2 linked regions of the Daphnia pulex genome follow. The protein of the gene in region 1 purifies or fractionates together with the protein of each later gene. This does not show direct contact. Links are inferred from orthologs where the notes say so. Each region holds a gene or a part of one and is shown on either strand. Other genes may lie near its edges. The genes, in order: high affinity copper uptake protein 1-like and ubiquitin carboxyl-terminal hydrolase 32-like.

Region 1 (7,230 bases):
TTTCAGTAGTACTGAAAATAAAATCTTGGGCTTTTAAAATCTATAGATCATGCCAGGCAAGAATGATTGCTTCTTCTGTTGATCTTCCCTCGACATTAATGTAGGGGCATTTGTTGTCATCCAGAATTTGTACTGGGCATTCAATGGTGCATTGAGTATTCCGTCCAACTTGGGCATTCAATGGTGTCATTGAGTATTCCGTTCAACTTGGGAACTTGTACAGATTATAAATACGACAGTGGTAAATAAACGTCAATCCCTGGGCCCATAACCTGTTGAGATTAGAAACTATGGTGCAATACCTTTTAGTTTAGTTGAAACACTTTGGTGCTAAGAAAGAATGAACTGCATTCTTTGTTGAGACAAAAGAGAGTGAGTGAGTAGCAAGCAAGACGACACTAGTCTCGACTCAAGAAAAGGGGGGGAGAACAAACGTTGACATACGTATCACACAATACGTTGAAGCAACATTGAAAGAAAACATTCTCAGAAGTAGAGAGAAGGTTAAAAAACAACACCGTTGGGCAAAAGACTACACCCTTTACTTGAATTGTGAGAAAAAACTTCCGCATATTATTTTATTTTTAAATTTCACGGTCAAATCCATTCCTTTCACTAAAGGATGCTAAATAACCTTGAAATCTCGTTTGACGAGAGGTTATGCGAGCAGTCATCCCGCCCGGTGTATCCATGGGATAGGATACACCTGGTGAATCCCGTTTTCGCTTTTACCCTTGGCTGATTCAACCACACCCATGTTCCGCAATATTTTACTTTGAGCTTTAATCTGGAAAAAACTCGAATTTTGTTAAAGACAAAATTCATTTGGTGTGTTCCCGCTGTAAAAGGACTGTTGCTGGACCCGCATTTGTTTTGGACATATCAGCAAAGTGGCTGAGGAGTGAAATGGGTGGGATTCGTGAGAAAAAAGGTTCGCCAATGTCAATTTCTCGATTCGTCAGCTACACAACCGTTTCACGCCAAAAAAGTACTACAGGATATTTTTTCAGCTGGAAACCAAACGGCTGTAATCGAAATAACGAAATCGAAAGGGCTAGCTAGCACATCGTTCGTTTTCTTCCGCTCTGCAATAAAGTCTGATAAACACATAACCATTAATTTTTAAAACAGGAGGTGCCGGTGTGGCGGCAGGACCTTCTTGGTAATAAAATTTGTTATTTGCACTTTGCTTTTAGAGATTATAGTTATAACATTATTGTATTTAAAAAAAAAAATTATTCATTAATAAATTGTGAAACATAGTTTAATGTTTTTCGTCAAACATTCCATTTGTTGTTCCCTCTAAGAAAACCAGAGCATTTAAAGTTAAATAAATATTTCAAAGGGTTGTACAATGCAGCATGAAAAAATTAAAGAAAACTAAAAACTTGCAATAACATTTGAAAATGTTAGGTTTACCATGTTTTCTAATTCAACGTCATTGTTTTCCTCATAAACTTGTGATTTTCTTGCAGGAAGAACAATGGAATGATTTGTTGACAAACAACTTGTGTAATTAGTTTTACAACTTAATTAATAAATGACTTTCCAATTCAAAAATGTTGTAACTTTTCTATAAGCAAAAAAGAGCAAATAGGAAATTTTGTGTTTACCAAGATGTTTTCGCAAATACACGATTGCTTTCGAATGACTTTCGAATGACTTTAAACAATTAAAACATACATTAGCAATAGACTTAATCATGTCAAATTGAATTTTACCTTCAGCTGAATTTCGAGTGTCATCACACTTTATCTCGTTTCTCGTTTTTTTTTAAACAAAACAAGAGCAGACGACCCTTTTCTTCTACTGGTTGCTGATTTTAGCAGTTAATTAGAATGATTTCATATTTGAGAATTATCAGTTGATATACTGTTTTAAAAAATGAGAGGAACTTGCCTGTCAATTTGTTTATCTAGTATGTTATGACACCTAGAATTGATTCTGCTGCCTGTCATTTCGAAGGGTCACCATTGACCGACGATCACGCTTAACTTCGATACAACTTGACTATGCTTCTATGTCATTGTTCACGATTGTTTATCAACGGCAGGATATATGTCACCAAAATGCCAAAAGAATTTCATTAATAGTTTTTATTGAATGCAAAATAATTACAAAAAAATTTACTGATGTAACAAAACGATATCAAAAAGTAAACATTAACTGAGTCAGATCAAATATTTTAAACCACAGCAGCGGGAGCAGCGGTCGCCTGGACGAATGGGTAGGTGAAAGGAGCGCCGTAAGTGTAGGGGAATCCAGCGCGGTAGTTCAAACCGGCGTAGGGGTAGTAGTTGGGCGAGCAGATGAAAACAATGTGTTATCTCAATGATTTCAATACAATTTCTTTTTACGAGTTTAAAATTGATGTGGTTAAACACAATAGCAGACCTCCAGTTGTTAAGGCATCTTTTTTACAGAATTGTTGGGATGAGCGCTCATTTGTTGGCCATCTGCTCCTAGCAACACAATTAACGCAATGTTACCTACCAAACAACGTTCATTGTAGATGGATGATGGGTTAGTTCCATGTCAATCTATTTTAGATTTTCATAGATGGTAAAAGGACGTTCATTGGATGTAAAACGGCCGGTTTTTTTCTATAGCAGAGATGATGCGTTTTATTTATCCCGGGCATTTGCACGCAAATTAATTTATTTTCAGAGACAATCCGGGTGTGGTTATTTCTGCAAAGGGCAGATGACCGATGAACGCAGAAATAAAGAGCCAAACAAAAGAAATGATTTTATTAGCTGATGACTTCTTCAGTTTGAAGGTTGTTGCGATGCAGGTGGAGGATTCATTTCTGTTTGTGTTGCGCGTTCGTGTGGAGATCGATCACAAAAACTCGTTTTGCTCTTGTCCATCGAATCAACACAATGCCCATCTAAATCTAATGACGTCATGCATAGTTAATGCAAATTGTTTTTTTCCAAAAAATTAATTGGGAAATTTAGCCGAGATGAAGACTGTCCCAACTGAAATAATTCAATCTTGTCATCCTTTCATGGTGGCCAATAATTCCAGTAGAATTCAAAGTTTCAAATTGGGCTGAATGAGCTTTCTTTTCCCAACAAAAGATGGCGGAGTTGAGCGGGAACATTTCGTGAAAATTAAACGTTCAAGTTTCACGCAATCTGAAGAGGAAAACAAATCGTGATCGTGCTGTCGCAATAAATAAATGATACCGAGTCTCTTTATAAATCATGGAGCGACCTTGGATTAATTTCGCAAATCTGATTGAAATTTGTCGATGTGACAAAAAGGATCTAGATTGGATTGGACTGTCTCAGAGTGGCAAAAAAAAACAAATGAGATATTCAAAGTTAAATATTTTGACATTAAATAACACGAAATCATTTTTGCGCTGTTCTTAAAGTTATTAAACGATCACTTTCATTCATCGATTTATTTTCGGGGTCATATTGAGTCGGCTGACAATAAAGGAAAAGACATTTCAGGAATTTGATTAAGGAATGGACAATACCGTCAAGAATGTCTTTTATGTAATGACAAAAATGCTTTAACCTTGGCTTGGATGATGCACCCGTCAAACAATAAGAGGATCATCGGTTCGTGTATAAGCATTTCAAGTGTATCCGGATATCCTCATAATTAATTCTATTCCATCAACTATTTTATAGCCGTGATGGTTGTACTGAAAATAACAAGATTGTTTGCACAAATGACTAGCTATATAGATAATTGTTACTGGGCTTGGTGTAATATAGCGACGGTTGTTATTTTGCGGTCAAAGTTTAACGAGATGAGAAAGGAAAAAAAAGGGGCGAATCGGTATGTGCAACTGGTATATTGTTCAATGTACGGATCGGGTGCTGTGTAGGAAGGATCACGTAGGCGGCTCTCACGTCAGGCCGACCGCTCTCTGTTCGATATCGAACGCGTTTAATGCGCACGGCACGACCGTCTGACGGTTACATCCTCCTCCCTATCGACTTTCGTCCGTCCAAGGATCATACTTTGCGCACGGCACTGCTCTCATACTCGGTAAACGACTAAATTCAAACCTCCGACTTCCCGCCTATAGAAATGAAAATTCAAATGAAATTAAAAGTTGAAAATTCGTAATAATCGAAACGAATGATTTGCCATTTAATTTTGCCGCAAATCGATTTGCATTGCCGCCAATTAAATTAAAATTCATTCGCTAGCGTCTAGTTTCGTGTTAGAGTGACCCGGTTGTACCTGTTCTGCGCACGGCACGTCGGTCCCATTGCTGCCGGCACTTCCCTGACGTCACGTCTTGTGTGGTTATTATTTTTAACAAAACATGAGCCGAGATAGTAGGAGAGAAAGAAGGGCGGCGAGTGTACGACGGGTGGAGCGACTGGTGGTGATCGGGAGTGGGGGGGTCGTATCCCCCCAACGCCGGGACGAACTCGGGGCGTCCGGTGATGGCGGATCAGCTGAGAGTGAACCTTAAACCACAAAACGCACAAAACTATTTTTCCATTTTTCATCGCCAGCCGATCCAATATCGCGACTAGGGAATACAGACATCCAGGATGGACTACATTTTGGATTATTACTCTACTCGGAATTATTTGTAATTCATTCTGTAGAATTCCGGAAACTGGTCCCAATGGCCCATATTTTTAGTTTAGCCGCCTGGTGCCCCCATCAACCCAAAGTGTCTTGGTCGACATTATATTTGTTGAGATTTATTTTTTTCTTGCTGCCGAAATGCCAAAAAAGTTTTAAAAATAGAGCCCCGAGTCCTAGTCTTCTCCCTTTAGCTTCGCCCATTTCTGATGTAATGGTCCGCTAGGTGGACTGGATTGCGAGTCATTTGAATGTAATGGGACGCACTGATCCTCTTTCGTCTTGAAATTAAAGGCTCATCAAAACCTGTTTTCCTGCAACAACATTTTTTTGGTCCAGTGCTGAGATTAAGATTAACCTGTTGTTATCATCGGAGATGAGCGATAACGGTATGCCCGGTCTAATCACGCGCGCCACCGCGGCGGTATCCTATATAAGCGACGCCTCCAACTGCCGATGGGCGTCAGCACTTGTCTTTTCTATCTCAGCCCCAGTGCCAAATCCTTGGTAGACTCAATTTGGGAGCCGATCGTGCAGCACTACTGGTAACATTCAGGTGAGAGCCCAGGCACATTTTCACACGTTTTCTCAACGAATTTTTTTTGGCAAATCGAGTTCAATAACTTTGCAAAACGAAATAACCACGGGGAAATGTGATAAAATCTTGTGTAGAAAGTGCAACTTTTTTTTTCCGCGCAATGTTTACAAAATGAGCGAAAGTTATTGCCTTTCACTTGAAAACCCCTGGAGCTAACTTTCCTCACTCCTCATTTGTTTGAAAAGGGAAAACCCGGTTGTTGGGTCACTTTTGGTTTCACACACATCTTTCCTATTTTCCAGTAGTTGTTTGCCATTCGTCCCTCGAGAAAGTCGTATACGTAAGCCAGTTGCATATGCCCTAAAGTTTCTCCAAGGTCGAAATTGAAACGTTGTTGTTTACATTTGGTAACGTTGTTGTTTTGGTTTATTTTGGTTACAGAAAATAAAATGTCTCACGATCACCACGATCATCACAATATGGGCCACGATGGACACGACATGGGCGCGCACGGTGCCAGCATGGAAACCACTACAATGCACGACCACGCAGCCATGGTTGCCGAAACCGCTGGACATAATCACGCCTCACCAAACAGTGGAATGATGATGATGATGCAGGTATTTTTAAATCTCTTTTTTTTAATTTGGAATCGAAACTATAATTAACCTAGCTCTTATATCTCTCTCGCAGATGTACTTTTACGCAGATTACAAGGCCGTTGTCCTGTTCCAGGGATGGGACATTCAAACTGTCGGTGCTATGGTCGGTTCTTGTATCGGCATTTTCCTGATGGGAATCCTTTACGAAGGATTGAAATATTTCCGGTAATTTATCTTTTTTTTTAACTATTGCAACCATTGATCGAAATAATTAAATATTATCTTTTATTTCTGCCCAGTGAGTACCTGAGTAGCAAACATTATACATCCGTCACTTACAACAATGTCAAAACTCCCGGTGAGGCCGGCAGTGAGACTTCTAGTCAAGTCAATAGGACGCCAATGAGGTACTACTACACCGAACCGATATTCCGAATTCTAAATGTAAGACGAGATTTGTGTTCTAAATGCTTTTGTCTTTCCTCCAATCAGCTTCAAGACGAGCGTGACCAGTGCGTCCCATTACATTCAAACGGCTTTACATCTTCTCCAGATGATCATTTCCTATTTGCTCATGTTGATCGTCATGACCTACAACGTGTGGCTCTTCATGGCCGTCGTTTTGGGCTGCACCGTCGGCTACTTTTTCTTCGGCTGGCGCAAAGGATTTCTCGTCGATATTACAGAACATTGTCATTAGAAAAATGATGCAGTTGATGATGACGTTTCCTCTCCTTCCACGGATCAACGGGATCAAGTGTGTGTACATTTTGTCACTTGTGTCATGGGGAATTATTTGGTTGTATTCCATTCGATTGGATTAATGACCGTTGTTATTATGGGATTATATTAGTCGGTATGACTACTCGACAATTCGAATAAATGAGACATTTTAGCAGCATCAATGGCTAAGTTGTGTATGTAAATGAAAACCACATTTCAGGAAAAAAAAAAGTTAATAATAATAAATCCAAGGACACGACACAATATCATTGCCACAACGTGTCAATTTTCCAAGAATTTTAAACAAACAGGAATTCAGCAAATTTTTATTTGTGCTGGTTTTTATAAGGTTAATTGTTTGTTTTTTTCTCAAATTTTCTTTATTTCAAATGAATGATAAGAGGGCAGAAAGAGAAAGAGGAAAAACATAAGACTTTTGTAATCAAGTATTTTTTTGTCATCAATTTTTTCTTTTTCTTCAATATTTTGTTTTGTTTTTTTCTTTCGAAAGCGTCTACACTGTCAACGAGTACCCTTGAACGTTTCCAATGACGACATTTCGTGGTTTCAGACAATTTTGAGTCCTACGTGTTACACAAGTATTTACATTCGATTACACTTAATTATAATAATAATTAAAAAAGGGAGGCGGGAGCTTGGGGAAGTGTGTTTAGAAGAGATATTCGGGCGCATGTGGAGGAGACGTTGGTGGTGGTCAAGGGGTTCTTGCATTGAATTCCAATTGAAAAGAAAAAAAAATGGTAATTTGAATAAACTTAAATCTACGATGAGGAGGAGGGG
Region 2 (6,776 bases), on another chromosome or scaffold:
ATCAGTTCCAGTAAAATATGGTCTTCGTTTGCCGATGGATGCCACTTATCTGCTACTTAAAGAAAGACTCGCCGCTTTGTGCCAGGTCTCCTACGATCATCTTTTACTTGCAGAAGTATCAGGGGCAATGATTAAGGCAAGTTAAATCAAACATTACTAGTTAAATCAAATATTTTCATACTCATGGAAATTTACTACGTGATGCAGAGCTTTCCGGGGGTTAGCAACAAGGTTCGACCTACGTCTGGCTTTGCCTTATTCGCGTATCAAGTGCTGAACTCTTCTGAGGTCATCCATCTTCTTCCCACAAATGGTGGCCATATCGGCCTTGTAGACGGCGAAGAAGGTGCCAAAGATCAGTCCAGTCCGAACAACAACAAACTAGCTGATCATTCCAATAACCAAGCAGCGAAAGTCTTTCATATCAAAGAGGGCGGCAACACAAACACCAGCTCGGAGGTAAGACGACCCGTCGGTATCTGCATGAACGTGATGAGCACCGTATTCTGTAGAAAGGTATTCGCCTCTTACCATCATTATTATTTCTTTCCTTTTTTTATTTTTTGCTTATTTCCCTTGTGTCCTTTGTTAATTCTCCCTGCTTTTGTTCGTTAGTACTTGCCAACTAAATGGTCGTGGATGTTTGTTTCCTTACCCAACTCTTGTCTCATGTTGACTTATCTCTGCTATTTCTTTGTAATCCTATTTAGTGGTTCAAAATTAAGATTGTATAACGTCTTTTTTATCATATGTTGAAACCTTTTGGAATTCAATCGTGTATCAAGGTTTGAAGTTCTATTGTAGATTAACCCCTTAATGTGTGTTAATTCATCTCACATGGAATGGATTGGGATGTCTAGTTGTGTTTTTTCGAATACCTGTTTTACGTCGTTATTTGTTTATCGTTTTTCGTTTTGATCAGTTCATCAAGTTAAGCTAAATGTGAGATATTTAAGTTACTGAATTATTCTATGTAATTGATTATTAGAATGGTTCGTCAACCGTCGGACAGGAATCCCTGCCACCACGGTCACCTGCTGATCGTCCAACAACAAACGGTGGAACCAATGAAGACCGAAACGGTGGTGATCGCTCTAGTTTGGCCAGCACGAGCAGTGGCAGCGGTGGTTTGGGCAGCCCAGTTAGTCTCACGAGTAATAACAGTAGCGCTCAAGAACTAAACGGCGCTCTGGGAATGGGAGCCTCTTTTCTGGTCGTCTACCATCGAAAAATGGTCTCTTAAAATTCAAAATGTTTCCAGTTTTTTTGTCTGTTTAACTTGTTTGTAATTTTCTAGATACGACAAGATCTCTATTTCGTCTCTCCACACAAAACGCGGCCTAGTCTCTTCGGTCTACCACTATTGGTCCCTTTAGCATGGACTACGGATGGGGTTTCATCTCATCCAGGAGACGAAAGCAGCAAAGTGTTATTGCTACAGACCACGAGTCAAGACTTGTATAGATGTGTGTGGACACTGGTCTCTCGACTGGTCTCGCCTTCTCCACCAACTGATAGTGGCACTCTTCCGAATCACGCCCATGACTGGTAAATTCGCTATATTAGATGATTTCGTGAAATCTTGAACTTAAACGTGTTATATTTAGCGATGACAGTCTGGGCTACGAGTTCCCTTTCACTCTAAAAGTTGTCCAGGCCAATGGAATCCATTGTGGCCTGTGCCCGTGGACCAAATTCTGTAAAGGATGCCCGCTGCCACCGACACCTGACCCTCTACCGAACGGTAGTGAGACCAATTCGCCAGCAGTCGAAGGCGTCCTTAATTACTGTATCGCCGTTGACTGGGAGCCGACGGCCCTTCATCTTCGCTATCAAACATCGCTTGAAAAGGCAAGCTTGATTTCCAAATATTTAAGGTTCGCTTCTTTTAACGAGATTCATTATAGGTTTTTGACGAAGATCCCAGCGTAGCTAAAGCGGTTCATCAACAAACTGAACCAGTCAGTTTAGAACAGTGTTTGCAAGCTTTCACACGAGAGGAACAGCTTTCAGGTGACGAAAAATATTACTGTCCAAAATGTGCCACTCATCAGCCAGCTACTAAAAAACTACAAATATGGAGACTTCCTCCAATTCTGGTAAGATTAATATTTTTTCCTGTTATTTTGTTGTTGCCATAAATGTGCATGAATGAACGTCCATTTTACAAATATAATTTAGTATTTTAGTATTTATTAATTTTAATTTAATGAATTCATTCATTTTTTAGATTGTTCATCTGAAACGTTTCCAGTTTGTAAATCATCGTTGGATTAAGTCTCACAAGGCCGTTCAATTTCCACATAACAACTTGGATTTCACTGAGTTTTTAGCAGCTATTCCTAGCGAAACGCTAGTCCGTCACCGCCAAAAAGTTGCTTCTTCCACACCTCCCAACGGGATCGTCGACTCTGCTAACGACGAATCTAATGGTGATGATATGAATCCTAAGCTTTCCACTTCGTCCACTTCATATTCCAACGGGCATCCACCAAATCTTTCGGAAGTGATCAACGGCAATGAATCGACTCGCAAACGACTCGAGTCCACCTCGCTAATGACTCATCCAGTTCACGACGAGGATCTTATAGACTTTCATCAACATCGACTTCTACCAGGATACAATAAGCTGGACATAACCTACAGCCTTTACGCCGCTGTGGTAATTTAAATTGCACGACTTGAAACTCTTAAATAACGATTGATCAAATTTATGCTTCTCTTTCTAGTGTCATTCTGGAATCATGGGAGGAGGTCACTATATTTCTTATGCCAAAAATCCTAACGGTAAATGGTTCTACTACAACGACTCAACATGCAAGGTAAGAATTTTTCATAAAAGAAATTGTAAGCAGTGAAGTTTAAATTTTTTTACTACAAGGAATCATCGGCCAATCAAATCGAAGGACAGACAGCCTACATGTTGTTTTTTGAAAGAGATGGAATTGACATGAAGGCGTATCTTCCCAAATTACGGGAGCCGAGTACCAGTTCAGCCGAGAGCGCAAATAGTGACTCTACTGCAGGGAAAGGGACACCGGCAGTGATTGGATTGGAAGAAGAAGATGGCAAAAAGTGCTGCATCATGTGATGCATTATTGACCTATTTAGCCCTAATATTCCAGTCTTAAGTATCGAGTTTCACCTCAGAGCGAAATAGGCATGATCGCGCTCTAGTCACTCGCAAAGGTCAAACATTTCAACCAGTAAGTGGTTTGTATGATTGATTCTCGAGGTGCCATGCACCATCATAACTATCTCTGTCGAAAAATGTGTCGGTAGGATAGTGCAAGTCCATATGTAGTTGTCTGTAATGTTATCTTTTCCCCCCTCTGTTATGAATGTTATTATTGATTTGATTTTGGCCGATAGTCGTTGCTTATTGTTTTCTTGTGCCTTTGTTCCCAGTTTACCAAAACTCGTGTTAACATATATATCGCGGTGCACTCGTGAAAATTCGCAAACAGGTACGAACGTGGACATTTAACTGTGGGCATTATTTCTTTTATATTCAAACAATTTTGCTACAGTGACACGCAAGCAACTGACTTCATTCCAGTTTGTAATGCTCCATTAAGTCCATTTCAAATGTTTTGCTTTGTGGGACGTAGGTATTTTCGGATACGTCTGCGGCCCGTGTGTCTTTTTCTTGCTCTGTAAAATCAATGCATGTATAGCGTTTCATTCTTTAAAAATATTCCGTGATTTTACGCGTCTTGTGCAATTTAAAATATAAATGATGCGTAAATATATATGTACACCTTCTGATAATTTTGCTGATCAATGTTGTGATTGCATTCTGTATGTTGAAAAATGATAAAGACCGTTTACCTGGGTATCCAGCTCTTGTTTTAAAATCAATGGTCTCCGAAGCTGACAACGGAATGGGTATTATATGCCCTGTTCTTTGAGAAACTCTTACTTTTTCTCCTTGTTCCGTAAACCGCCATTCCACTTTAGTGCCTTTACTACTCCAGAATATCATTAGTATAGTATCATTAACAGGAAACTACTATTTAATGAAATTCTTACTCATCAGAAGGATCAACCAATGCAACCTCATTGGTAACCAAGAGGGGTGCTTCAGACTGAACCATTGTACCAGGGAAATCTTCTGTCCTACCGATTCGTCTGTAATGCACATTTAAGCCTTCGACAACTACCCAATTTCTTTCCTAAGTAAAGATAAATAAATAACATACATATTTTTCATATATACAAAATAATTCTTAATGATTATTACCTCAATGATTTGATTTACTAAACCTATTTTTCCTTTATCTTTTCCGACCAAGACTTCAACCTAATTCAGATACACACAATGATTTTTTATTTTAATAAGGTGAATTTGTCAATTTACCCTGTCTCCTCTAAAAAATGCCCACTCTTTAATTGGTTCCACAAAGACCTTTTTTCTCTTTGCAAGATTTTGTCTTCGAAACTCCTCTGTCCATGGTCGGTTCATTGTATACCTGCAAATTGAAAACACAAACTAATTGTACGACTGTTTTCTGACAATAAAATTTTTTTCATTTGCATGAAGGGAATACCTGAATTTTTTCTTTTCCAGGGTTACAGGCAGATACTGTGGTATGTCTTTTGGTGCTTCCCAATAAACCTATGATTAAAATAAAATAATCAAATGAAACATAGATATGTACTTACTGTATATTACACAAGATGATAACCATTTGAAAAATTAAGTTAAGATCTTGAGTTTAGGATGGACGTAATTTATTAAAAATCTTACTTGCTTCATAGCTCTTTTAATGTACGATTCAGGGAGATTAGAATATTCGGTAGAATATTTCCCTATTTTGGATAATATTAAGGTAAGCCTCATTTTTTGTAGGTTTTTGTAACAAAAATATATATCAGTTTGTGTTTTCAATGTGGTTTATTTTATTCTAGGATCAGTAGGATGGTATCGGCGCTACCGGCGGTACTGGATCGGTTATAATATTCTTCTGTCGGGCCCAGGCCCGCCAGATATAGACCATGTATAAACCGTCAGGGCGTCAGTAGCGCCTCACGTGGAAATCTTTAGAACTATTGTTAAGCATGCCTGTCATTACTGTCATAGACTCGGAGATTGTTGATTTTCAGTGCTTTAGAAGAATAAGTTTTGATATGTATGAAACATGATTGTATGCCGATCCCTTGCTTCGCGCGCGAGTTTCCCGATAGGGTTTTTTTTTGCGGAGTTTGTGTCTTTTTAGCTTTGGGTTCGATGTTTTTGTTCGATTAATCGTTTTATAGGGAATAAAAAAAAGCCCATAACAATAGGAACGGGAAAAAAAATTGCTAACCGAAATGAATCTGCCCCAAAAATTAAAAACCCACGCGCGAGTTTGACTCGAAAGTATGGGGTGTGACAACTTTCTTTATTGACACGACACAGCAATGTTGGGTCATGTATGTTGACATATTGGTATAGCTGATGTGATATTTCCACCAATCAACAAATTCTCATGAAACATTTTAATGGCATTAAAATAGATTCTTGAATGTGGAGGGAACCCTTATGATGCAGTGTCATTGGCTGAGAAATCGGCTCTTTTTTTGCAACACAAATTCCATCTATTAAAATAGCAACCATGGACGGATATCAACCTGATGTGGAGCTCTCAGATGATCCTTATGATACCAAGAGACTAAACACAGAGAACATTCCTTGTGTACTGACTTTGATGAAGGTTTGTAGGTTAAAACTTTAAATTTGAAATAAATAGTCTAATAATACTAAGTTTTCACTTTCAGATTGGAAACCATTTCCTAGTAGTTCCAACACCAAAAGAAAAATGCTGCAGCTTTTCTGGTATTAAAATGATTACTGCAGTTAGGAAAATTGACAGTTGTAAGACATCAGCTATGATATTCTTAAAGATGGAACTTTTAGAGAAATAACATTTAAGCGATGATATAAATCTTCCAAGAGTTCACCTTTACTTATCTCTTCGTAACCTAGGTTGACTATATAATTTCTCTACCATCGCCCGTTGTCTGAATTAAAGTGCTTTTGGTATAAAAAAGAAACGGCAAATAAAGCGGCAATTCAAGCATTTATTGTAAATAGGACAGGAGATTTTGCTTTTATAATTGTGGGCTACATAAGTTCATGAATAGGTCAAAGCCGATACTTACTGATTCGGGTGGTTATCAAGTCATACTCGACGTATGACGTCATGACGTAACATCGAAATTATGTAAAATTATACAGAAGTCTTGTTGCTTTTTTCAGTTAATTTCGAACCATTATTTATAGTATTTAAATTTATATAAATAACATATAAGGTTAATAACCACCCTAAACAAGATAAGATTTTTGATAGATTAATTGAACGTTTATAGGATGAAATTACGGCTTTATTTCTCTTATCTATGAAGGGAATTTCGACTAAAATTTTCGACCGCACACTTGGAGAAACTTCTGATGTAGTGAGTAAAGAAATATATAGTTTTCTTGTTAAGAGTGGTAATCATATATCACTGAGACCCGAATTTACACAGGCTCAACAAGTAAGTGGTATAGGACTAGAAAAAGCTAGGCATTTTGCTTTACTAAAGGCAAAACTTATTATAAATGGTTTAGAAGGCAAAGAAATAGTAGAAAAAGGACAACTTCCAGGTAAGTCGTTGACGATGAGACGGATTGCTTTGGGCATAGCCATCGTAAGGTGCCATTTCCGAAGTGACCATTCTTATACACTCCTTCAACTAGTCATCTTTGACCTAGAGGTAAAATATCAGCATTACAAAATTGGAATCAACAAACA

Evidence for each region.
Region 2: the proteins of high affinity copper uptake protein 1-like (region 1) and ubiquitin carboxyl-terminal hydrolase 32-like purify together in Homo sapiens (co-immunoprecipitation; 3 studies listed by BioGRID and IntAct, with this or other methods). This does not show direct contact. The link is inferred for Daphnia pulex from reciprocal best matches to the Homo sapiens genes SLC31A1 and USP32.

Annotation. Positions count from the first base shown.
Region 1 is NC_060017.1:8,209,678-8,216,907, forward strand, and holds high affinity copper uptake protein 1-like, read left to right. Parts: upstream 1-5,412; 5' UTR 5,413-5,480; intron 5,481-5,545; 5' UTR 5,546-5,553; coding exon 5,554-5,724; intron 5,725-5,797; coding exon 5,798-5,931; intron 5,932-6,005; coding exon 6,006-6,113; intron 6,114-6,198; coding exon 6,199-6,406; 3' UTR 6,407-6,607; downstream 6,608-7,230. Other genes in the region: uncharacterized protein LOC124193369, read right to left, coding at 523-544, 635-692.
Region 2 is NC_060026.1:7,320,474-7,327,249, reverse strand, and holds the end of ubiquitin carboxyl-terminal hydrolase 32-like, read left to right. Parts: coding exon 1-136; intron 137-207; coding exon 208-516; intron 517-988; coding exon 989-1,234; intron 1,235-1,297; coding exon 1,298-1,548; intron 1,549-1,607; coding exon 1,608-1,851; intron 1,852-1,907; coding exon 1,908-2,099; intron 2,100-2,230; coding exon 2,231-2,662; intron 2,663-2,729; coding exon 2,730-2,822; intron 2,823-2,881; coding exon 2,882-3,091; 3' UTR 3,092-3,550; coding exon of another isoform or gene 3,551-3,654; 3' UTR 3,655-3,771; downstream 3,772-6,776. Other genes in the region: probable 39S ribosomal protein L24, mitochondrial, read right to left, coding at 3,551-3,654, 3,832-3,968, 4,033-4,175, 4,244-4,303, 4,361-4,472, 4,551-4,618, 4,751-4,843. UniProt on the Homo sapiens protein: Deubiquitinase that can remove conjugated ubiquitin from target proteins, such as RAB7A and LAMTOR1.